Linked DNA regions of Xenopus tropicalis. The protein of the gene in region 2 purifies or fractionates together with the protein of the main gene of each other region. This does not show direct contact. Links are inferred from orthologs where the notes say so. Each region holds a gene or a part of one and is shown on either strand. Other genes may lie near its edges.

What was found. Proteins that work in one complex are often made in the same cells at the same time.
Region 1: the proteins of rab31 (region 2) and gdi1 purify together in Homo sapiens (co-immunoprecipitation; 3 studies listed by BioGRID and IntAct, counting the BioPlex papers as one, with this or other methods). This does not show direct contact. The link is inferred for Xenopus tropicalis from reciprocal best matches to the Homo sapiens genes RAB31 and GDI1.

The regions. Positions count from the first base shown.
Region 1 is NC_030684.2:140,921-149,003, forward strand, and holds the start of gdi1 (rab GDP dissociation inhibitor alpha), read left to right. Parts: upstream 1-2,676; 5' UTR 2,677-2,770; coding exon 2,771-2,815; intron 2,816-8,083. UniProt on the Homo sapiens protein: Regulates the GDP/GTP exchange reaction of most Rab proteins by inhibiting the dissociation of GDP from them, and the subsequent binding of GTP to them. Promotes the dissociation of GDP-bound Rab proteins from the membrane and inhibits their activation.
Region 2 is NC_030682.2:104,640,287-104,648,184, forward strand, and holds the start of rab31 (ras-related protein Rab-31), read left to right. Parts: upstream 1-3,351; 5' UTR 3,352-3,422; coding exon 3,423-3,458; intron 3,459-7,898. UniProt on the Homo sapiens protein: The small GTPases Rab are key regulators of intracellular membrane trafficking, from the formation of transport vesicles to their fusion with membranes.

The DNA of each region.
Region 1 (8,083 bases), on a different chromosome or scaffold from region 2:
TTTGTGCTTTGTGTTTCCCGTCTGTGGCCCCAGTTATTTCCAGTTTCACTTGTTTCCTACCAGTATCATAGAAGGGGCGCCGCTGGTAGGAGAGCCTCGTGGGTAGATAAATGGATACACTTGGCAATATGTGGCCCTGGCTGGCAGAGAGAGAGAGTTAAATAAGATGTTTATCTTACAGTTACCCAGTAGCCATTTGTACTTCTTTGTTGTATTTTACTTTTTGCTTTGCTGCTCTTCAGTTATCTGGTTGCTATGGTTCCACTGACCTTAGCAACCAGACAGTGGCTGAAATGGCAGCAGCCTTGATCCTGTTTTGGGAAAGGATAGCATTAGGGTGAGTTTGATAGGCACACATAAAAGCCAATCAGTGACAGCGAGCAACATGCAGTAACCAATCGGGCCCTTGCTTTCAGTACAAGCTACCCTCTCGTGCTTTGTTATCAGGGTTAAACCTGCCCTGTTACCGTGTAACTACCTACAGGCCTCATTGGCACAACCCAGTTCCCTAGGTAAGGGCTGGCACTGAGTCACTAAGGTGCGCTCGGCCTGTTAGCTGCACGGGGAGGGCACCATTAGTGCACGTTTAGTAGTGAGGGAGGTAAGTGGCCGGGGCCAGCAGCAGCTTCTTTATATGAGATACCCTCACTGATTCGCTTATACAAGATCTTCTTCCGCTGTGCCCACCTATGGGTTAATCCGATTGGTTCAGGGACTGCATCAACAAGTCCATGTGGCCCCTGTTCCGATGGAAATATCAAACCTGTCCGATGGAGATCTGCCCGATTTCAGGCCAGATGTGGGTCGGGGAGACCCATTAGTGGTGCCCCATACATGGGCAGATAAGCTGCGCAATCATCCTAAAGGGCCAATACTGGCAGCTTCGCCCCATGGATGGCCACCTTAACAGGCAGGACTCCCAATGAGAGAGGGGTAATTGGGCAGATAACAGGCAGGACTCCCAATGAGAGAGGGGTAATTGGGTAGACAACAGGCAGGACTCTCAGTGAGAGCAGGGTAATTGGGCAGATAGCAGACAGGACACCCAATGAGAAGGGGTAATTGGGCAGATAGCAGACAGGACACCCAATGAGAGGGGGGTAATTGGGTAGATAACAGGCAGGACTCCCAATGAGAGAGGGGTAATTGGGTAGACAACAGGCAGGACTCTCAGTGAGAGCAGGGTAATTGGGCAGATAGCAGACAGGACACCCAATGAGAAGGGGTAATTGGGCAGATAGCAGACAGGACACCCAATGAGAGAGGTGTAATTGGGTAGACAACAGGCAGGACTCTCAGTGAGAGCAGGGTAATTGGGAAGATAGCAGACAGGACACCCAATGAGAAGGGGTAATTGGGCAGATAGCAGACAGGACACCCAATGAGAAGGGGTAATTGGATAGATAACAGACAGGACTCCCAATGAGAGAGGGGTAATTGGATAGACAACAGGCAGAACTCTCAGTGAGAGCAGGGTAATTGGGCAGATAGCAGACAGGACACCCAATGAGAAGGGGTAATTGGGCAGATAGCAGACAGGACACCCAATGAGAAGGGGTAATTGGGTAGATAACAGGCAGGACACCCAATGAAAGAGGGGTAATTGGGCAGATAACAGGCAGGACACCCAATGAGAGAGGGGCAATTGGGTAGATAACAGGCAGGACTCCCAAAGAGAAGGGGTAATTGGGTAGATAACAGGCAGGACTCCCAATGAGAGAGGGGTAATTGGGCAGATAACAGGCAGGACTCCCAATGAGAGAGGGGTAATTGGGCAGATAACAGGCAGGACTCCCAATGAAAGGGGGGTAATTGGGCAGATAACAGACAGGACTCCCAATGAGAGAGGGGTAATTGGGCAGATAACAGACAGGACACCCAATGAGAGAGGGGTAATTGGGCAGATAACAGGCAGGACTCCCAATGAGAGAGGGGTAATTGGGCAGATAACAGGCAGGACACCCAATGAGAGAGGGGTAATTGGGCAGATAACAGGCAGGACTCCCAATGAGAGAGGGGTAATTGAGCAGATAACAGGCAGGACACCCAATGAGAGAGGGGTAATTGGGCAGATAACAGGCAGGACTCCCAATGAAAGGGGGGTAATTGGGCAGATAACAGGCAGGACTCCCAATGAGAGAGGGGTAATTGGGCAGATAACAGGCAGGACTCCCAATGAGAGGGGGGTAATTGGGCAGATAACAGACAGGACTCCCAATGAGAGAGGGGTAATTGGGCAGATAACAGACAGGACACCCAATGAGAGAGGGGTAATTGGGCAGATAACAGGCAGGACTCCCAATGAGAGAGGGGTAATTGGGCAGATAACAGGCAGGACACCCAATGAGAGAGGGGTAATTGGGCAGATAACAGGCAGGACACCCAATGAGAGAGGGGCTATTACACAGATAACAGCCAGTGCCCCACCCTCCCATCTTTAGCCCCCCCAGTATCCCTTGCTGGGAAGATGCAGACGCGGAAGGATCTATTTTCACAGCCGCATAACTAAGGTCACACGCCCTCTTCCTTATTGTCCCTCTGTGGTGTCTGTGGGCCCCGCATGGGGGGCTGTTAGGGACTAAGTGAGACGGTGCCCGGCAGTGCAGCTCGGTACTAGCGATACTGGCTGTTGGGGGCCGTAGGGTGGGGCAGGGGGTGGGGTTAGAGGAAGGAACTATTTGCTGGCGCGGAAGGAGACAGGGCGGTGAAGCTGTTCCTCCATCTTTGGTCCAGCTCAGCTTCCAGCTCCGCACTCTCCCCTCACGGCGCGATGGATGAGGAGTACGATGTGATCGTGTTGGGTACCGGCCTGACGGTGAGTGGCCATGGGGGCCTGGCTGGGTACTGGGGGGTCCTACTCGCTCTTTTATTCTGGGGCCCCAGGAAAGGCTTCAGGGGGCAGTTACACGGGCTGGAGTGGGTAGTGCCTGGGGCAATTACTGTTATAGGCCTAGTAATGCCCTATGGGTATGGGGGCAGGGCCCCTCACTGTCAGCTGGGGGCATTGATGGGATGTATGGGGGCACTGACATGTACTGGGGGGAAATAACATGAATACAGGGCCGTGCCACTCTCTGGTACAGGCTGGGGGCACTGACACGTACTGGGGGGAAATAACATGAATACAGGGCCGTGCCACTCTCTGGTACAGGCTGGGGGCACTGACATGTACTGGGGGGAAATAACATGAATACAGGGCCGTGCCACTCTCTGGTACAGGCTGGGGGCACTGACACGTACTGGGGGAAATAACAGGAATACAGGGCCGTGCCACTCTCTGGTACAGGCTGGGGGCACCGACATGTACTGGGGGGAAATAACAGGAATACAGGGCCGTGCCACTCTCTGGTACAGGCTGGGGGCACTGACATGTACTGGGGGGGAAATAACATGAATACAGGGCCGTGCCACTCTCTGGTACAGGCTGGGGGCACCGACATGTACTGGGGGGAAATAACAGGAATACAGGGCCGTGCCACTCGCTGGTACAGGCTGGGGGCACTGACATGTACTGGGGGAAATAACATGAATACAGGGCTGTGCCCACTCTCTGGTACAGGCTGGGGGCACTGACATGTACTGGGGGGAAATAACATGAATACAGGGCCGTGCCACTCTCTGGTACAGGCTGGGGGCACCGACATGTACTGGGGGGAAATAACATGAATACAGGGCCGTGCCACTCTCTGGTACAGGCTGGGGGCACCGACATGTACTGGGGGGAAATAACAGGAATACAGGGCCGTGCCACTCTCTGGTACAGGCTGGGGGCACCGACATGTACTGGGGGGAAATAACATGAATACAGGGCCGTGCCACTCGCTGGTACAGGCTGGGGGCACTGACATGTACTGGGGGGAAATAACATGAATACAGGGCCGTGCCACTCTCTGGTACAGGCTGGGGGCACCGACATGTACTGGGGGGAAATAACATGAATACAGGGCCGTGCCACTCGCTGGTACAGGCTGGGGGCACTGACATGTACTGGGGGGAAATAACAGGAATACAGGGCCGTGCCACTCTCTGGTACAGGCTGGGGGCACTGACATGTACTGGGGGAAATAACATGAATACAGGGCCGTGCCACTCTCTGGTACAGGCTGGGGGCACTGACATGTACTGGGGGGAAATAACATGAATACAGGGCCGTGCCACTCTCTGGTACAGGCTGGGGGCACTGACATGTACTGGGGGGAAATAACAGGAATACAGGGCCGTGCCACTCTCTGGTACAGGCTGGGGGCACTGACATGTACTGGGGGGAAATAACAGGAATACAGGGCCGTGCCACTCTCTGGTACAGGCTGGGGGCACTGACATGTACTGGGGAGAAATAACAGGAATACAGGGCCGTGCCACTCTCTGGTACAGGCTGGGGGAACTGACATGTACTGGGGGGAAATAACATGAATACAGGGCCGTGCCACTCGCTGGTACAGGCTGGGGGCACTGACATGTACTGGGGAGAAATAACAGGAATACAGGGCCGTGCCACTCTCTGGTACAGGCTGGGGGCACCGACATGTACTGGGGGGAAATAACATGAATACAGGGCCGTGCCACTCGCTGGTACAGGCTGGGGGCACTGACATGTACTGGGGGGAAATAACATGAATACAGGGCCGTGCCACTCGCTGGTACAGGCTGGGGGCACTGACATGTACTGGGGGAAATAACAGGAATACAGGGCCGTGCCACTCTCTGGTACAGGCTGGGGGCACTGACATGTACTGGGGGGAAATAACAGGAATACAGGGCCGTGCCACTCTCTGGTACAGGCTGGGGGCACTGACATGTACTGGGGAGAAATAACAGGAATACAGGGCCGTGCCACTCGCTGGTACAGGCTGGGGGCACTGACATGTACTGGGGGGAAATAACATGAATACAGGGCCGTGCCACTCGCTGGTACAGGCTGGGGGCACCGACATGTACTGGGGGAAATAACATGAATACAGGGCCGTGCCACTCTCTGGTACAGGCTGGGGGCACCGACATGTACTGGGGGGAAATAACATGAATACAGGGCCGTGCCACTCTCTGGTACAGGCTGGGGGCACTGACATGTACTGGGGGGAAATAACAGGAATACAGGGCCGTGCCACTCGCTGGTACAGGCTGGGGGCACTGACATGTACTGGGGGGAAATAACAGGAATACAGGGCCGTGCCACTCTCTGGTACAGGCTGGGGGCACTGACATGTACTGGGGGGAAATAACAGGAATACAGGGCCGTGCCACTCTCTGGTACAGGCTGGGGGCACTGACATGTACTGGGGGGAAATAACAGGAATACAGGGCCGTGCCACTCTCTGGTACAGGCTGGGGGCACTGACATGTACTGGGGGGAAATAACAGGAATACAGGGCCGTGCCACTCTCTGGTACAGGCTGGGGGCACTGACATGTACTGGGGGAAATAACAGGAATACAGGGCCGTGCCACACTCTGGTACAGGCTGGGGGCACTGACATGTACTGGGGGGAAATAACAGGAATACAGGGCCGTGCCACTCTCTGGTACAGGCTGGGGGCACTGACATGTACTGGGGGGAAAATAACAGGAATACAGGGCCGTGCCACTCGCTGGTACAGGCTGGGGGCACCGACATGTACTGGGGGGAAATAACATGAATACAGGGCCGTGCCACTCTCTGGTACAGGCTGGGGGCACCGACATGTACTGGGGGGAAATAACATGAATACAGGGCCGTGCCACTCTCTGGTACAGGCTGGGGGCACCGACATGTACTGGGGGGAAATAACAGGAATACAGGGCCGTGCCACTCGCTGGTACAGGCTGGGGGCACTGACATGTACTGGGGGGAAATAACAGGAATACAGGGCCGTGCCACTCTCTGGTACAGGCTGGGGGCACTGACATGTACTGGGGGGAAATAACAGGAATACAGGGCCGTGCCACTCTCTGGTACAGGCTGGGGGCACTGACATGTACTGGGGGGAAATAACAGGAATACAGGGCCGTGCCACTCTCTGGTACAGGCTGGGGGCACTGACATGTACTGGGGGGAAATAACAGGAATACAGGGCCGTGCCACTCTCTGGTACAGGCTGGGGGCACTGACATGTACTGGGGGGAAATAACAGGAATACAGGGCCGTGCCACTCTCTGGTACAGGCTGGGGGCACTGACATGTACTGGGGGGAAATAACAGGAATACAGGGCCGTGCCACTCTCTGGTACAGGCTGGGGGCACTGACATGTACTGGGGGGAAATTACATGAATACAGGGCCGTGCCACTCTCTGGTACAGGCTGGGGGCACTGACATGTACTGGGGGGAAATAACATGAATACAGGGCCGTGCCACTCTCTGGTACAGGCTGGGGGCACTGACATGTACTGGGGGGAAATAACATGAATACAGGGCCGTGCCACTCTCTGGTACAGGCTGGGGGCACTGACATGTACTGGGGGAAATAACAGGAATACAGGGCCGTGCCACTCTCTGGTACAGGCTGGGGGCACTGACATGTACTGGGGGAAATAACAGGAATACAGGGCCGTGCCACTCGCTGGTACAGGCTGGGGGCACTGACATGTACTGGGGGAAATAACATGAATACAGGGCCGTGCCACTCTCTGGTACAGGCTGGGGGCACTGACATGTACTGGGGGGAAATAACATGAATACAGGGCCGTGCCACTCTCTGGTACAGGCTGGGGGCACTGACATGTACTGGGGGGAAATAACAGGAATACAGGGCCGTGCCACTCTCTGGTACAGGCTGGGGGCACTGACATGTACTGGGGGGAAATAACAGGAATACAGGGCCGTGCCAACTCTCTGGTACAGGCTGGGGGCACTGACATGTACTGGGGGGAAATAACAGGAATACAGGGCCGTGCCACTCTCTGGTACAGGCTGGGGGCACTGACATGTACTGGGGGAAATAACATGAATACAGGGCCGTGCCACTCTCTGGTACAGGCTGGGGGCACTGACATGTACTGGGGGGAAATTACATGAATACAGGGCCGTGCCACTCTCTGGTACAGGCTGGGGGCACTGACATGTACTGGGGGGAAATAACAGGAATACAGGGCCGTGCCACTCTCTGGTACAGGCTGGGGGCACCGACATGTACTGGGGAGAAATAACAGGAATACAGGGCCGTGCCACTCTCTGGTACAGGCTGGGGGCACCGACATGTACTGGGGGGAAATAACAGGAATACAGGGCCGTGCCACTCTCTGGTACAGGCTGGGGGCACCGACATGTACTGGGGGGAAATAACAGGAATACAGGGCCGTGCCACTCTCTGGTACAGGCTGGGGGCACTGACATGTACTGGGGGGAAATAACAGGAATACAGGGCCGTGCCACTCTCTGGTACAGGCTGGGGGCACTGACATGTACTGGGGGGAAATAACAGGAATACAGGGCCGTGCCACTCTCTGGTACAGGCTGGGGGCACTGACATGTACTGGGGGGAAATAACATGAATACAGGGCCGTGCCACTCTCTGGTACAGGCTGGGGGCACCGACATGTACTGGGGGGAAATAACAGGAATACAGGGCCGTGCCACTCTCTGGTACAGGCTGGGGGCACCGACATGTACTGGGGTGAAATAACATGAATACAGGGCCGTGCCACTCGCTGGTACAGGCTGGGGGCACTGACATGTACTGGGGGGAAATTACATGAATACAGGGCCGTGCCACTCTCTGGTGCCAGCTTAGCTATGGATTTATATGGACCACCCAAGGTGGGTGATGGTACCTGGGTCTATATGGACAGGTTTCACGGTGTTCTTATGAGAGTGCCAGCTTAGCTATGGAGTTATATGGACCACCCAAGGTGGGTGATGGTACCTGGGTCTATATGGACAGGTTACACTGTGTTCTTATGAGAGTGCCGGCTTAGCTATGGATTTATATGGACCACCCAAGGTGGGTGATGGTACCTGGGTCTATATGGACAGGTTACACGGTGTTCTTATGAGAGTGCCAGCTTAGCTATGGATTTATATGGACCACCCAAGGTGGGTGATGGTACCTGGGTCTATATGGACAGGTTACAGGGTGTTCTTATGAGAGTGCCAGCTTAGCTATGGAT
Region 2 (7,898 bases):
ATATCTTCTTTAAATTCATGTTGTCTTATAGAATTTGCAGGGTAACGTGATTTCCATTCCATTTGCATGTACTTGAAGTGATATTGTGCAATTTCCTTCTGTTAATAAACAAAAGTGCCAGATCATTGGTTTCATCCTGGCACAGATGGAGAACTTAAAATGTTATAGCAGCTTTTTTCACTTGAATAAAAAAATGTATTTTATAAAATAAAACATCCACAAAAATAAAGCTTTTTTTAAATACTTTATTATTTATACAGTGATTTCCTGTTTCCATGTCATTTACACATACTTATACATCATTTATTGCTAAATTATATGTTTTTATTTCTAGACATTTTTTCTGTCAGATATTTTCTACAGAAAGAGGCCAAAATTGGACCAGTCATAAAGAATGTGACTGGTTTTATATTTGCCATATAAAGAGCAATAAGGTCAGACCACAGCTGCCTTAATTGCCCCAGGGCTGCACACATAGGTAACAGAGCCATGTCATGCTTCAGATATAGGCTTGAAGAGTGGGAGTGGCATAACTGAGCCCCACATCAAATTTAATTCAGGGCCCCCAGATGTAGGTAAATTGACCTATTCTACCAAAACATTGAAATTGCTCATTAATTAGCACATTACCAGGTCACCTACACTCCTGGCCCCCCGGTAACTGCAGGATCTACTTCTTATGTAGTTACCCTCCCAATATAAGCCATTATATTAACAATTCTGCAACCTGCAAGATAGCAACAGTAAATTACACCATTCGTAACACTTTATGCTGAAGTTCTACTTACAGGACCCACAAATAGCTGAAGGCACAGGGACACTATGGGGCTCATTCAAATTGCCCCATGCAGTATGCAAAGTGCTAAAAAGGCTGCAATTAGCCATTTTTTTACATTTTTCCCACTGCATGGGGCACTGGTCTGTGCTAAGAATGAAGTGCAGTCTTCTTTAGGATGTGCTCAATTCAAAAGGGACAGGTGGGGGGAGGCACGTACGTGTTTCGTGCATCATTTTTAAAGGCACATGGAAGGAATGGCAGGATGTGCAGTGTACAGGGGGTACAAGTGCTTTGTAGATCAACATTAAGGGACGCGTTCTTGCACTCCCTGGTGTCATAATGACCCATAATGTAAGTAGCTGCAGACTGGGGTTACCAGATCATCTAAAAAAATTCAGGGACACACTCATCTAGAAAATCCAATTAGAATTGCTGTGTTGATTGCAATATAATTTACATTCAACCAGTGCATTGCAACATGCATTTACTAGATGCATCTCTAAGGGGCAGATTCATCAAAGTACGAATTCGAATCCCAAAATCGGTAAAATTCGGATTAGATACGATAATTTCTGATTATTGGAAATGTCATGAAAGTGCTTACAAAAAAATCGTAATAGCCACAATAATATCGTATTGGCGATCTGAAAGTCACTAAATTTTCGTATCTGAATGATCGTAAACAGCGGGAAAACTTTCTGACTTTGATCCTTCTGTGCATCTTTTTGGGAGCCTCCCATAGGACTCAATGGCACTCTGCAGCTCCAACCTGGCCAATAGAAAGTCACGTCAACGAAGCTTTAATGATTCTGAAACTTTCGTACTTGTTGCACCAATACAATTTTGTTGCATAAAATTTGTTGCAAAGTACAAAATAGTTGCTCAAATTAACGAAAAGATTGCAGAAAATACGCACAGTTCTATAAATTAGAAAAAATACACATTTTTTGTATTCGGAATCAATCGTACTTTAATAAATGTGCCCCTAAATGTTGGTAACCCTACTGCAGGCACCTGAACAGCTTTGGATATATTGTACCCTCATCGTACTAGAAAAAATATGTAAATGCCAGTGAGCAGTAATATAAAAAGACTCAGCAGCTTTGACCATACCGCTGCTTTAAATAAGATTTACCCAGAATTTTACTTGTATGAGCCAGCTGTTCAACATCTGTAGGCAGTTTTCCTAGGCTGTTCAGTTGTGGCACTCAGCATTACACTATATGTATATATATATATATGGATATTATGGTGATTATGGGTATTTCATGTGATGTTTTAATGTGGCCATTTGTATCTTGAGAAAGGTTCTAGGCCAGAGCCGAAACGTTGATCGAATGGCAATGTTATAATAAAGACTGAATTTTTAATCAAAAGCCCTTGGAGTGTGCTTATGACAGTTGTTGGAAGTTGTACATATTCCCTTAGCTGCACCCAGGCAATAATAAACAGTGGCTAAAGAGGAGTTCGGATCGTGATGCAGTTGTATATATACAGGGCTGCTGGCCAAATGGGTGCCCTAAGCAGAAATTTACTTTTGTGCCCCTCCCCCAAATTTTACGGAAGTAAAAATAAAATAATAAAAAAACACCTACTATAGGGGCCCCACACACAGAGCCCCCAATATCCCCCATAGACAATGCCCCCATAGTAAGTGCCCCCAATTGCCCCCATAGATTGATTGAACTATCTGGGACAGTGGGATGCGGTATAAAAACCGGCGGGACAGTGTTGGGGGGTATGTTATAATATCTAAAAATGATTTTTTGGAGCAGCTGGGATGGTACCCCCCTGGGAGTTGGTGCCCTATGCAGACTGAATACTCTGCTTATAGGGAGCAGCGGCCCTGTATATATATCCCTGAGGAAGAGCACAGTTGGTGCTCGAAATGTTGGATCTTTTTCATTAAATATTTTTTTGTTTTCTAACAAAGTCCCTGTGTGTGCGGCTCATTGTCTTGCTATACACATGGTTCTTGCAAGCACCCGGGGCATTTGATTATTATCAGGGTGTGCTCTGTTCTTTTCTGTATATATATATATATATATATATAGGTCTAACATGATTAAAATTCAGGTAGTCTGGCAGAGCTTAGTTATGATGTGGTATGTAATAATGTAAGCATATGTGGGAAATAATTTTTCTGTGGACTCATCATTTCCTGTTTTGGAGAAGCCCCAGGCTATGTTTATGTATGGGAATGCCAATGATGTTTGAGGCTGGGATGCATGTTAGGGAAGTAGGCTAGTTCTCCTAGAACATGGGGCGCATATAAACACTGCACAACCCATAGCACTGAAGGAAGGATATGAATGTGGCGCTGCCTGTGGCTGAAACATCCTAAGCAGCCGTAAATCCTGGGTCCCCCTGCAGATTTTCCTACAGGAGATGCTGCATTTCTGAGGGATTACGAAAGCACGGACTGAGTGCTTGTCTGCACGCCATGTGACAAGCTGCCCATAAATAGCCCAGACTGGTTTCCGTTTGTTTTGGAGGAATTAAATCCTCCTCTTCCCCCCCCCCCAACTTTTGGTCAGGAAATGATTGCATGCGATCCGCGGCAGAGGAGCGGAGCCTGAGCTGTGTTTTGTGGAATCCTATTGTGCTGCTGAGGATGGAATGCTAAAGACAGAAACAGTAAAGAATGGCTATCCGAGAACTGAAAGTTTGCCTTCTGGGGGTGAGTGCGCTTTGCTTTCTTTATGAGGGAGGGAGCGAATACAATAGGACAATAAAAGGATTCGGATAGAGAACTGTTGCCCTATTGCCCTATAGAAGTGTATGCTGCAGCTGAGTAATTAGCTTCTAACACCTTCTCCTGCTGTGTGTGACAGACAAAGAAGCGTTACAATACCCAGAGTTCTAATGGGCTTGGTAGTACCGAGGAGCCAACTGGAACTGACCACAACAAATACTTTCCAACTTAGCTATTTTGTTAATTGTTTACAATAGTTGTACTGAACAAACAAAAAATACCTTTTCATGTATCCATAGCTCAATAATTAAATTGAGCTCTAAAAGAGTTTCCTCCCTCACACTCAAAAAGCTCACTTTGCATTTTTTTTTATTGTGACAGAGTTGCAAGAACGTATTCCTTTGTCAGAGAGTAAAGGGGAACTCCACCCAAAACAGTTTTATGTACAGAAAACAAAATGTAATTACAAGCAACTTATTGATATACAGTAAAGAAATATTTTTTAAAAAGTTATTTGCAAATGTCATTGCCATGGATATCAGTTTTCATCTGGCTGTTTATCTCTTTATCTTATCTGCACTTATGGAGTTAACTTGAAATAATGTAGCAGAAGCCATGTAATGGAGAACAGAATATGACAAAAAAAACTGCTGTCAACTGCAATTACGCTTACAAACTTTATAAAACAAATTTGATAAAACCATTGAAAATATTTTATAAATGTGCATTGGGAAATTGCTTAGAATGATATTTTCTTTCATTTTGGGAGGACCACTTTAACACTAGTGAAGTTGTTTATATTTTGTTTGGCCTTCCTTGTTTAGCTTTTATGAGGGTGAATGCCCCCTCCATGACCCAGTGCACCTAAAAGAGAACCTTGTCCTAGACAGATTTGTGCAGAACTTTACTAGCTGTAGCATAAAGTTGACCCCAGAAACCTTAATAGGCATTTTTTTAAATTAACAATTAAATAGCTCTCTTAGCACAAGCTATGTGGGTCCCCTCACCCCAGTCTGAGCTCAGAGGAGGTAGACAGGGAGGGGAAAGGGGGCAGAAATGGGTTGGCTGCCCCATGTGTTAAGGGGCAGAAACTCCTCTCTTCTCCTGGGAAAATTTAACATAGTAAGTTTTGTGAATGCATACTTATGAAATGAGGGGCAAATTATACTATGCCCTGTTCCTACCCTGCCTTGCCCAGGGCACATCCTCATCTGCCAAAATTCCACCTACTTTTCCCATCCTTCTTCATGTCTTTGATGTGGGACTGTTCCTAAAAAAATGGACCATTGGGAAGTATGTGAATGTGATAGGGACCTTAGATTGTAAACCACCATGACCCTTTGTCTGTAGTCTACTAGGTCTCAAGGAGGTTTGGAAAAGAGATCTTGAAATTTCTGTTCCATCCGCTCTCTCTGCTTTTCAACCTTTGTCCTCAGCTTCCTTGTTTCAGTTAGAGAGTGGCGTGCCAAATGCCTGATAATGTTTCCAGCTGTATCATTTCTCTTTTCTTTCCACATAATTGTGTGTATATTTATACAAAAAAAAATATATATATAAATATATATTTTTTTTAATCACACAATATACCCCAGCCACAAGTAAAGGAGCAATAAGGGAAACAAAATCTCACTCCTTGGTGCTGGGTTCTACACCTTGTGACAGGGGTGTGTGAGGCCCAACATGGCTGCCCCCCTGGCGACCAACTGCCTCACCCCCCCCCCCCCCGAATGCGTGTACCTTATGTTTAAGTTTGAAGTGATCAGGGAGGGAGGTCAGCTGGGAAGCACCAATGTTCCGGATAGGGTCTGGGTCAGTGGGGCCCAGCGGGTTTTTTCCCACTGTCTAGCTGGCCCAGTCAGACCTTGTTCGTGACAGATTTGTAAGGTGTATAGTATATTACTTTTGGGCAAAAAGCAGGTTTAAAGTACAGTGTTTTGCTGAAGGATATATGTTTATATTCCAGATTTGCTGCTTTTTTCATTTTTTTAATGACTGAAATTACACTCACATTGTAGTGAATGTATGAGAATCTGTCTTCCAGATTACAGGTGGTTCTTATCATTGTTCAGCTATAAAAGGGGCAGTATAAGCTAAAACATGTCTTGGCTAAAAATTGGTGCAGTAAATAATAATAAAGAATCTGCCTATTCTTTTTCTTAAATCCATATTTATATTTTTTGCCATTATAAATCATGAATTAAAAATTGGATTGGTTTTGACTAAACTCACTCCAGCACTTCCAACAGGATAATTTATTGTAAACTAGATAAGTAACTCTGAATAAACAAACCCTAAACTAAAGTCTTGGTTAGCCTTTGCCTTGTGGAACATCTCATTATACAAATGCCTATGGACTGGTAAATAAGGTTTGTGTCAGACTGGGCACTTGTCGCTCCCCAAAATACCCTTTCCTCTGGATGAATGAAATTTACCACAAGTAAAACATACCATTATGCCTGTGCTTTGCATGTGAATTCTGTGCTGCTGTTCATATAATTTGTTCTGGCGTCTTACCAACAGTTTCAACATAAGTCCTGAAAAATTAAGGCCTCTACTCAGGACATGTTTTATCCATACAATGTTTTCCTATGGTCTGTGGTTTTGTTTAAGCTGTAAACAGAGCCAGAGAAGGTTCCTGTTGCCTTGTAAAATATGCTCATGCATGTATGGACAACCTAACAGACTGGCACTATTTTTTATATTCAGTCAAAGTAATGGAGGTTCCCACTATGTAAATGCTTTGATTCATTATTTCAGGGAAAACTAGGGTAAAAACACTTAAAGGGTTACTGTACCCTTTAACAGTTATTTCTTTTCTGCTTTCCCCTAATAAAATGAGTAGCTTGCAAAGGCCTGAATTGTGAAGCCACATAACTTTTGCTGTTATGTTTTTTCTCTGCACTGTTTTAGTCCAAGTATTATATTTGACTGCATGTGAACCAGGACACTAAGGGATGTATTCATTATGCTGTGTAAAAAGCATAAAGCAAAAAAAGTGAAGTATTACCAGTGATGTTGCCCTGGGCAACCAATCAGCAACTAGATTTCAAAAGTTAGAAAACCAAAACAAAAACAAAGCTTCTCATTGGCTGCTTATGAGCAACATCACCAGTAATGTTTCACTCCACTTTTTACACAGCATGATAAATATACCCGTAATTCTACTTACTGCAGAAATTAGGCATGAAACAGGATTGGCATAAATGCAAAAATGTATTTTCTTGTCAGTGTTTCTTCAGCAAAACATTCTAGTTCCTATGTCTTAGCAGTGATACTCCTTCATGGATACAGCAAGGATTTGAATTACTGTTAGCATTTATTTAAAGGAAATATATAGGATAAACAAAACAACCTCTAATCTTGTAGGCAATAGTGAATAATATATGGCCCCTTTATTGGAGCTCCTTATAGAACCCCTTAGGTCCCTGTCCGTGTTTTAAATGATGGGTGGGTGTGTCCTAACGGTTCCTGCCAAAAGCACGATAGAAGGGGGATAGCCAATCACAGCCCTGCAGTCACACAAGCAAAGACAGGCTTCTGTTTCCTTTTTAAATTTTGACTTGCATCCTTCTTTAAATAAAGAGAACTTATGTTTAGTACAGGGCAATACATATACTGTTACAGACTTGCTATCCCCCTATATAAAGGGTACTTCAAAACCCATTAAGTAGTAATGTATGTCCTTAAAGGAAAACTATACCCCCAGAATACAGTAAATACTTAACCAACAGATATCATATATTATATTAAGAGTCTTGCCAAACTGAAATACATATATCAGTAAATATTTCCCTTTACATCTTTTACCTTAAGCTGTCATTTTGTGATGGTCTGTGTGCTCCCTCAGAGATCACCTGCCAGGAAATACTGCAGCTAACTGTAAGGCTGATGGCCCATGGAGAGAGTTAGTTGCCCGCAATAGATCTCTGCTACCGCGGGCGACTAACAAATTTGAACTGCCAATCTTTGCGCCACTTTGGAAAGCCAAAGTGATGCATAGGCCTTTCTACTGGCAACTCCTATTGTTGCTGGTGGAAAGGCATTTCTGAGCGGTTAGTTGCTCACGGTAGCAGAGATCTATTGACTCGCTCTGTGGGCCATCAGCTTGACAAGAAGGGTTGGAGTAAAAGACAGAACTCTGTCCATTAATTGGTTTGTTTGTGTGCACTGTGAATCCTATGATCCCAGGGGCAGCCATTAGTACTTAAAACTGCCATTTTTCAGTTTAAGATTATCCATTGGCACTTTTAAGCAGTATATTTTTATAGAGACCTACATTGTTCAGGAGTATAGTTTTCCTTTAATGAGGTGGGCAGTGCAACAGAAATGGAGGGATCTTGCACTCATGCAATTATAAGCAACACTAAAAAACTGCTTATAAAATTTCTTTGTGTCATTGCAATGTACAGAGATCGGTTTGGATAA